Arabidopsis thaliana: one gene and its partner. The protein of the gene in region 1 interacts with the protein of each later gene in a biochemical or structural test. Each region holds a gene or a part of one and is shown in the gene's direction. Other genes may lie near its edges.

Region 1 (4,109 bases):
CAATTTGGTTATAAGTACCCTTTTTCGAAAACGTAATATGGAAAATAACACCTTTCAAGAAACTATTTGGTAGACTATAACGATTTACCTATATATAGATATACTGAAAATCAAATGTTTAAGACAAGAAAATGTAGAACTAAAAGATGTATATCAATCCATACTTATGTGATAGATAAGTATAGCGTTTGCATATTGGTGCAATAGACGTATATCGGTGAACTTCCAGGCACAATGATGGACGTCTATACCAAATTACATGTGTCTAAATTCAATCAAATTAAGTAACATCGCAACAACTCTTGCATGTGTTATCATCTAGCACCTTTCCGATTTTTATTTATAAAAAAAAAAAAAAAGACAATCATGAACATAAATGGTCATTGATAACAAATTAGGCCTGGAGTACTGCTAACAAAAAAATGGTCAAGCCCATACAGTAGATTTATTAGGCCCAATAAGATCCAACAGAGATTAGTCTGATTGCTTCAACTATGAGTCTATGACAGCGACTTGACTTTCTGCTGCACCATTATTTTAAAATTGTGTTGTGTGGTCTCCCTTTGGCCACATGATGGCTTAAAATGAATGGTCTCTCCCGGTAATGGATGCTCTTTGCTTTTACTTTGTTTTGTCACCACACAATGCTCATCATCTAATTGGAGTTGGTAATCACCAATTAATTGAAACTCTTGCTAATTATGATATAGAGGACAACACATCCTTTTCGTCAATCACTTTTACGCCTTCCCTTTTTGGACATTTATTTCTTCTATTTTAAAAATTCCACGGCAATTTCATATTATATCAGTGGTAATGGTTTTGGTCTTTGCTTAATTAATGTGTTAATCAACTTTCTTAATCCCAACTTGTTTTGTTTTTTTTTATCAGTCGGTGGATTCTCATATCTTTTGGACGGCGAAATAGAGACTTCTTTTCTCCCACTTTCTCTATTTAAATATAAGTATAAACCCAAACTTATCATTATATATTATGCAAAATTAATACGTTGACAGCGCCGTTTACCATTTTTATAATACTGACTAAATGTTACTTATCCTTCACTCTTTCGTTTATGTTTCCTTCATGATGGTCATGTTTATCCTTTGTTATTCATCATGTACATTAAAAGTAATGTTCGATTCAAATTACTGTAGATGCGCACGTTTCACTTATTTTATTGTGACCTCTAAAAAAAACAAGAATATATACCAATATACCATTTTATTAGTTGGTAAAAGATAGAAATACTAATTTTGAAAATAAAAATTTAACCATTTCCCCAAATAAATGATATATAAGAAAATTTGTAGCTTATGCTTTAACCAATTTACAAATAATATTCCCGAAAATTCTGATGTTGTTTAGTCCGCTGTTTAAGTAGTTGCTTGCTATCTTATTTTAAAATTTTGGAGTATATTTTAATAAGGTAGAAACCGTAGATATGACATGATTATTGGGGGGTCCGAAACATATAAAATATGGAAGGTGGTGAGACAACAAGTTAGCGAGGATCGTGCAAAATCTTCATCATCAGATCAACAAATTGTTTTTCAATAAGAAAAAATATTCATCTTAAGCTATTATAAATTTGGTCCATTTTCATAAAATAATAAAAGGTAAACAATGCATGTGTACACAAAAGTTAACTTAATATTATATATTAAATATCTCAAATATTTCTCTACTTAAAATAAATTTTAAATAATTTTAGTTTCATGTTTAATTTTGGGTTTTGCAAAAAATACCACAAAAGAAAGACACTGAAAGTGAAAACTAACGGGGAATTGTGGGCATAGACGGCAAAATGGAGGGGTCTGAATTAAAAAAGAGAGAGAAATAAGTGACGTTTGGTTTGTAATATAAAATCAGATCTGTAAAATACCAGATCACGTGTATAAAAAGATTTGGTATTTATTACTACTAACTTCATTTGATCTAAATTACATAATCGTCAGACTGGTAATAAAAATTGACAAAAATAGGTGGTCAAAATAATAATAAAAATCTTTGTATTCTTCTGTATTTTGTAAAAAAATATACCAAATCGATTAATATATGCAACATAATAATGATTTCGTACCATAATATAGCTTGAAATAAAATAAAAAATCAACTATACATCCACTTTATATATTTTAAATTAAATTGTATGGAAAAGTATCTTAAATAATTAATTTCCTTTAGTAATAAACCAAAATTAAAAGTCTAATTGACAGTTTAGTAATGAAATTAATAAAAGGTGAAAGTAAAGGAACACAATAATGTGTATAGGTTAAGCAAAGACAGCTATATATATAGAAAACAGAGAGAGAAGAAGAAGAAGAAGAAGAAGAAGAAGAAGAAGAAGAAGAAAGATGGGGCTACAAGGTCAGCTAAGTGACGTCTCTTCCGATTCAATCCCTCTTATGCTCCTCTCTCTCCTCGCCGTCTTCATCAACCATCTCCGATCTTTCCTCCTCCGTCTCACCTCTAAATCAAATCCTAATCTCCCCGTAGACGATGTCTCTATAGCATCGGGACTAGCCAACATAATCGTTCTCGCCGATCAGCTTAGTTTGAATCGGTTATTCTCGTACCGGTGCGGTGACGGAGGTGGTGGCGGCTCCGATTGTGTTGTGTGTTTGTCGAAGTTAAAGGAAGGTGAAGAGGTGAGGAAGCTGGAATGTCGACACGTGTTCCACAAGAAGTGTTTGGAAGGATGGCTTCATCAATTCAATTTCACTTGTCCTCTTTGTAGATCTGCTTTGGTTTCCGATGATTGCGTCTCTAAAACGCAGCGTAGCGTTGGGAGGGATTTGATCTCGTGTTTCTCTCTCCACTGAGTAAAAGATCGGAAGATGAAGAAGATCCGATGGTATCTGAGAGATCTACGGTGGCTGGCTGGTTCGGTTTGACCACGCGCGTGCGCCCCTTCTTTTCTCGGATTTTTTTTGAGGTCTCTTTCTTCTGTGAGAGGAGAACCTTTTGTTTGTTTGGTTTTTTTTTTTACTTTTCGATTTGGAATATGTAAATTTTGAATATACAAATTTTCACCGTTTGTATCTTTGTTGTTCCTTGCTGTTGAGTATATATAAATGGAGAAGATATCAATTCCAGTATAATTTGAAAAATCTTGCAAACTCAATTCATCAACACTGTGAATTTTGGTTATGTTTTTGTTCCTGTGAAAAAGATAAGAAAAGGAATTGGTAGATTTGTAGACGTATCTGGCCTTGATTACAACACCTCTCAGTATGTAATAATAACATGTGTAATTAAGGATGGTCGTTGGACAACAGTGTTAACACACTTTTTCTATATCAGATTCATGTTTTTTTTTAAACAGATTCATGTTTTATACGTCTTTATTGTACAGACGAACCAGTGAGGACAATCATTATTATTGAACTTTTTTGAACCATGAGTGATTTTTTAGTTGAAGATTCATCCCTAAGAAATTGAATCCCATCCACTTCTTTTACAAATTGAAGGAGTGGAGAAGGTTTATATTCCAATTTCAGTTTGCAATGTTTTTCATATGTAATTTTTTCCATTTGTATAAATTTTTTGGACCATCTCTCTTTTACCTTTAGAGAACTTTGTGGGCTTATTAATTTGTCACGATAACAAACAAGATGGGCTTAGAAATAATTATATCTCCAAACTGAATAGGCCCCGTTAACATTATAGATTAGCCTTGTTTTGGCTCCGAATGACGAGCCTTTTCTAATTCCACAACAAAATGTACTAATGTATCTTCAACATTTTTCTACATACATATACATAAAGTTGATTTTCTGCTTTTCTTAGCTTAGTTTACCAACTCAAAACGTTGTATGAGAGTTCTTTAGGTGAATTAAATGGGAAATGAGTCACAACTAAATATAAGCAGTTCAATTCCTCAAGATGCAACTCATAATAATCCATTTGATGTTAATAATGATACTACAGTGTCTTCTTTATTTGAAATGTAACTTTTGTTATATAGTAGTTGATAATACCATCACCACAAGGACACTCTTCATTTCATAAACATGAATATGAAAATAATCGTAGACTAATGAACACAAACAAACAACTAAGAGATATAAGATTGATTTTTTTCGGGTAAGGAAAAAAAATCGGAC
Region 2 (4,700 bases), about 15 Mb from region 1:
AAATGATGTCCTCTTCCTCACTTCACTTCATCAAAAAAAAAAATGTCATATATATGTATGCTTAAACTTTCATAAAAAATTTAATGATTTCAGTAAAATGTTCTAGGGTTAGATTATATTATAATATAAATTTCAAGAAAAATTCATTCGTAAATTTTTTTCATTTATGAAATACCACAACTGCATGAAAACTAATCAATGGATAAATACAGACAAAAAAAATTACATCAATACGTGATCTTATAAAACAAAATCTGAATATATGTATAGGGTCTATAGCTAATTTCAATTTCGATTATATTATATGCAAACTTGATGTGGATTACTTATTTTTCGGTTAAGATGTTTTATCTATGGTGGATTTACATAAAACTCAACAAATAATTTTGCTAAGTCCTTAAATTAGTTAGACATATTGGTGAAACCGACACTAAAAATGTAGATAAAAATATTAATTTATACATTATCCAACAAGGATTTTATCCAAATCGTGGTATCTATGTGATCTAATGGTTATAAGTGGAATTTAGGTGTTCTAAACATGCTCAATTAGTCAATTATATACTTCACTTTCCAACTCAAAACAGCATATTCCGAGCGAACAATATGGATTTTTATACTATAACACCCAATTTCTAAATTAAACAAAAATTGCGACCATTATATATGGTTCTATCTTTTAAAAACCATGGAACTAAATGATGAAACTATGAAGTTTTTTTTTCACAAAAAAAAAAAAGAAACTATGAAGTTTTTTACCCTATATTTTTTTTAAAAAAGATACTATGAAGCTTTGAAGCAGCTACTACGAGTTGTGTTTGTTAATGTTTCTGAAAACAAAAATAAATTGAAAAAATCTTTAGTCAACATCAACTCGTGTTTTTTCTCTTCTCCCATCGTTATAACGTCTTTTTGACAAATGACAAATTGCGCCTAACTTCTACGATAGACACGTGGACACGTGTCGTCATGATGTAGTTTTGTCCGTATGGAAAACGCTTTCCATGTTGTAACCTAAGATACATTGAACAGTTCCTTTGTCCTTTCAACTTCGCTTTTTTCGAAGCTCTTTCCCTTACCCTACCACAACATTACGCGTGTCCTTCTTATTACAACATTTGGCACATATACATTTCAGAAAACCCGTCAACAAAAAACACGTGAAATAAAATATCTCTTCCTTTACCAGTTCACATATTTCATGGTTACTGTTCAATCATTTCGCCAAAAAATCTTTTTTTTTTTGGGTACAAATTTGGCCAAATAATTGTTCCTTTATTCTGAAATTCAGTCCCCTACACGAATATATAGACCACCAAAAAGTACATGGACGGTTCAATGTTGATTAAATCGACCAAGATAAAGTCAATAATGTTTTGTGGTTTAGATGTCGTCTGGTTACTATATTGACAATAAACTTTGTAAATAAAAAATATCCTTAAAAAAAAAAAAAAAATCCTAAAAGGAAAATCGAAAATCATTTTTTTAATTTGTTTTACATTACTTAAATAATTAAATAGACAATCCTAGGAAAAAAATCTCGATTAAATTAAATATTATATGTGAACTCCAAATGTCTAAGCAGCAAATTTCCAAACATTCATTTGAATCTTATTTTGATTGGAAAATACTTTTAAATTTAGCGGAACATTATTGATAAATAGATGAATAAACAAATGTTAATAAAAAAAACCATTTAAAAAAAATAGTACGAGGAAGAGCTAAATCTACTCATGTAGGTTCAATGAACTCAAGGGATTGCATAAATCACGACGATCTAACTGACACACGTGTCAGAATTCAAAAGTGTTTATAGATAAACACAAAAATGGGTCCCATATTCAGTACACACGTTAATCAGCGGCGGTGGATTCACCTATACACTGCGTCCATATATAAGTAGCACGAGACCCAAACATTATTGTCAAAAATAAGAAAGAAAGAAAAAAATATGGGTATCCAAGAAACTGACCCGTTAACGCAATTGAGTTTACCACCGGGTTTCCGATTTTACCCGACCGATGAAGAGCTTATGGTTCAATATCTCTGTAGAAAAGCAGCTGGTTACGATTTCTCTCTTCAGCTCATCGCCGAAATAGATCTTTACAAATTCGATCCATGGGTTTTACCAAGTAAGTATATACTAATTGAAACCCTTCTCAAAAAATGTTTATTTTTCTTAACAGAGATTCATAATTTTCTTGGTTTTTCTTCTTTTGTGATTTATAGATAAAGCATTATTTGGAGAAAAAGAATGGTATTTTTTTAGTCCTAGGGATAGAAAATATCCAAACGGGTCAAGACCTAACCGGGTTGCCGGATCGGGTTATTGGAAAGCTACGGGTACGGATAAAATAATCTCGACGGAAGGACAAAGAGTTGGTATTAAAAAAGCTTTGGTGTTTTACATCGGAAAAGCTCCTAAAGGTACTAAAACCAATTGGATCATGCATGAGTATCGTCTCATTGAACCTTCTCGTAGAAACGGAAGCACTAAGGTAACAAATAAAATCTAAACATTAATAAATACTATATCTTATATTTTCTTCTTGTAGTGTTTTGAATGACCTATAATTAATATTCTTGTTAATTTTCTTTAGTTGGATGATTGGGTTCTATGTCGAATATACAAGAAGCAATCAAGTGCACAAAAACAAGTTTACGATAATGGAATCGCGAATGCTAGAGAATTCAGCAACAACGGTACTTCGTCCACGACGTCGTCTTCTTCTCACTTTGAAGACGTTCTTGATTCGTTTCATCAAGAGATCGACAACAGAAATTTCCAGTTTTCTAACCCAAACCGCATCTCGTCGCTCAGACCGGACTTAACCGAACAGAAAACCGGGTTCCACGGTCTTGCGGATACTTCTAACTTCGATTGGGCTAGTTTTGCCGGTAATGTTGAGCATAATAACTCGGTACCGGAACTCGGAATGAGTCATGTTGTTCCTAATCTCGAGTACAACTGTGGCTACCTGAAGACGGAGGAGGAAGTCGAGAGCAGTCACGGGTTTAATAACTCGGGCGAGTTAGCTCAAAAGGGTTATGGTGTTGACTCGTTTGGGTATTCGGGGCAAGTTGGTGGGTTTGGGTTTATGTGATGATGAAATGCTGACGCAATAAAAATAAGTCGTTAATTTTTGTCCCGTGGCAAATCTTATATGTATTTGAATTTCAATTCTTTTGGGTTAAGAGGGAGACTCATAGATTTAGATGTAGATTTGTAATCTTTCATGCATAGAAAATTTGACGAATAGATTTCGTAACTTTATTTTGTTGCTGTTTGGTTATCTTTGTATTGGTATAAATTTAGTGGATTGAAATTGCATATTGATATATTGTTTAGTTGTGGCTAGCTATACATGTAAGTTTAATTGTTTGAGCTATCCAAAAGAATATATTTAACTATCTCATGCATTTTTAATATAAGCATACGTTATGTAATCATAAACCTACATACAAATCTTTTCTGTTTACGAATATATAGTAACACACCACAAATTGAGAGACTTACTGTATATACTGTATTTGAAAAAGGAGCGTTGGGTTAGCTGAACTTAGGTGTGTAACGTGGGCTTGCTTGTTTGACCATCTTGACAAGAGATTGTAGAGAAACAGTTTATACCGTACAAGTTTCAAACACATGTTTATTGTGGGTCGACTAAATGCGTTTGCAATTAGGGTATGAATGATAAGAGTAAAACACGGAATACTCGATTTTTTAACTGTACCTAGGAAAATCCGACCTAATAGTTTAAATTTAATTTCTGACATGAATCATGTAAAAGTTTAAGAACATCTCTAATAAAGAGTTTTCAAAACATTAAAATAACGAAATAAAGAATTGAAAGTACCAAAAATAACCATTTAGTTCAAAAGAGGATGAGAATACTCAAAAAGGGTTTTAAACTATTCGAGATGTTCTTATTTTGATTTAGAGTGCGCGTTAACACAATCTCTAGTACACATTAGCCACATTGTTACTGAATATATGTGGTTCGCTGATCATACAATATAATTCTATCTCCTTCCTTTTTCTGTATCCTCCATGACCATTACTGCTTTTCAGAAGCTTTGACCATCCTTTGAGATATGTCTATTTTCTGATATTTACCAAATAACAAAGTGGATCGTCTTGACGAAAGCCCAAAAATTAATTATCTCTGTTTTTTTCTCCTCTAATAAACTAGTCTTCTTCCGTCGAGTCATGCACTCATACTGATAATATCATTATTTGAGTGTGGGAAATCTTCGGGAGGAGAAACTCATATTTGTCTTTCCTTAGACCTTGTTGATTTTGTTGATGTGAGAGGTAAACGACACCCGGAAAATGGTCGAATGAACGGATTTTTTTACAAACATCTACATGACCTTCACTTGGTTCGTTCTCTATTAGTCGAATAACATGACATACATGCATCATAATTAAAAACACACAACAATTGTATTTATTTTGTATTTACAAGTTCCATTAAAAATTTAGATACTCAGATTTGTGGAATGTAAAATTCCAATAGCAAACTAGTGTATTGATTGGCCCATGGGCCAAATGCCCAAATATTAATTTTCCATCTATTTGGTCATTACTCAAAAAAACCTCTAATTAAGGTGTAACTCAGAAGAAGGAATATATAATTGCATTCTTTAAAAAAAAAATCATCTAACTAAGGTTAAGAGTTATAAATTTGAATAAAAAG

The links. The genes of interacting proteins can lie anywhere in the genome.
Region 2: the proteins of RHA2A (region 1) and NAC019 form a complex in vitro, tested with the Arabidopsis thaliana proteins (one study listed by BioGRID).

The regions. Positions count from the first base shown.
Region 1 is NC_003070.9:5,192,419-5,196,527, reverse strand, and holds RHA2A (RING-H2 finger A2A), read left to right. Parts: upstream 1-2,313; 5' UTR 2,314-2,357; coding exon 2,358-2,825; 3' UTR 2,826-3,244; downstream 3,245-4,109. Other genes in the region: AT1G15085 (uncharacterized protein), read right to left, coding at 3,674-3,751. UniProt on the Arabidopsis thaliana protein: E3 ubiquitin-protein ligase involved in the positive regulation of abscisic acid (ABA) signaling and responses to salt and osmotic stresses during seed germination and early seedling development.
Region 2 is NC_003070.9:19,695,696-19,700,395, reverse strand, and holds NAC019 (NAC domain containing protein 19), read left to right. Parts: upstream 1-1,913; 5' UTR 1,914-1,951; coding exon 1,952-2,132; intron 2,133-2,229; coding exon 2,230-2,498; intron 2,499-2,600; coding exon 2,601-3,104; 3' UTR 3,105-3,473; downstream 3,474-4,700. UniProt on the Arabidopsis thaliana protein: Transcription factors that bind specifically to the 5'-CATGTG-3' motif.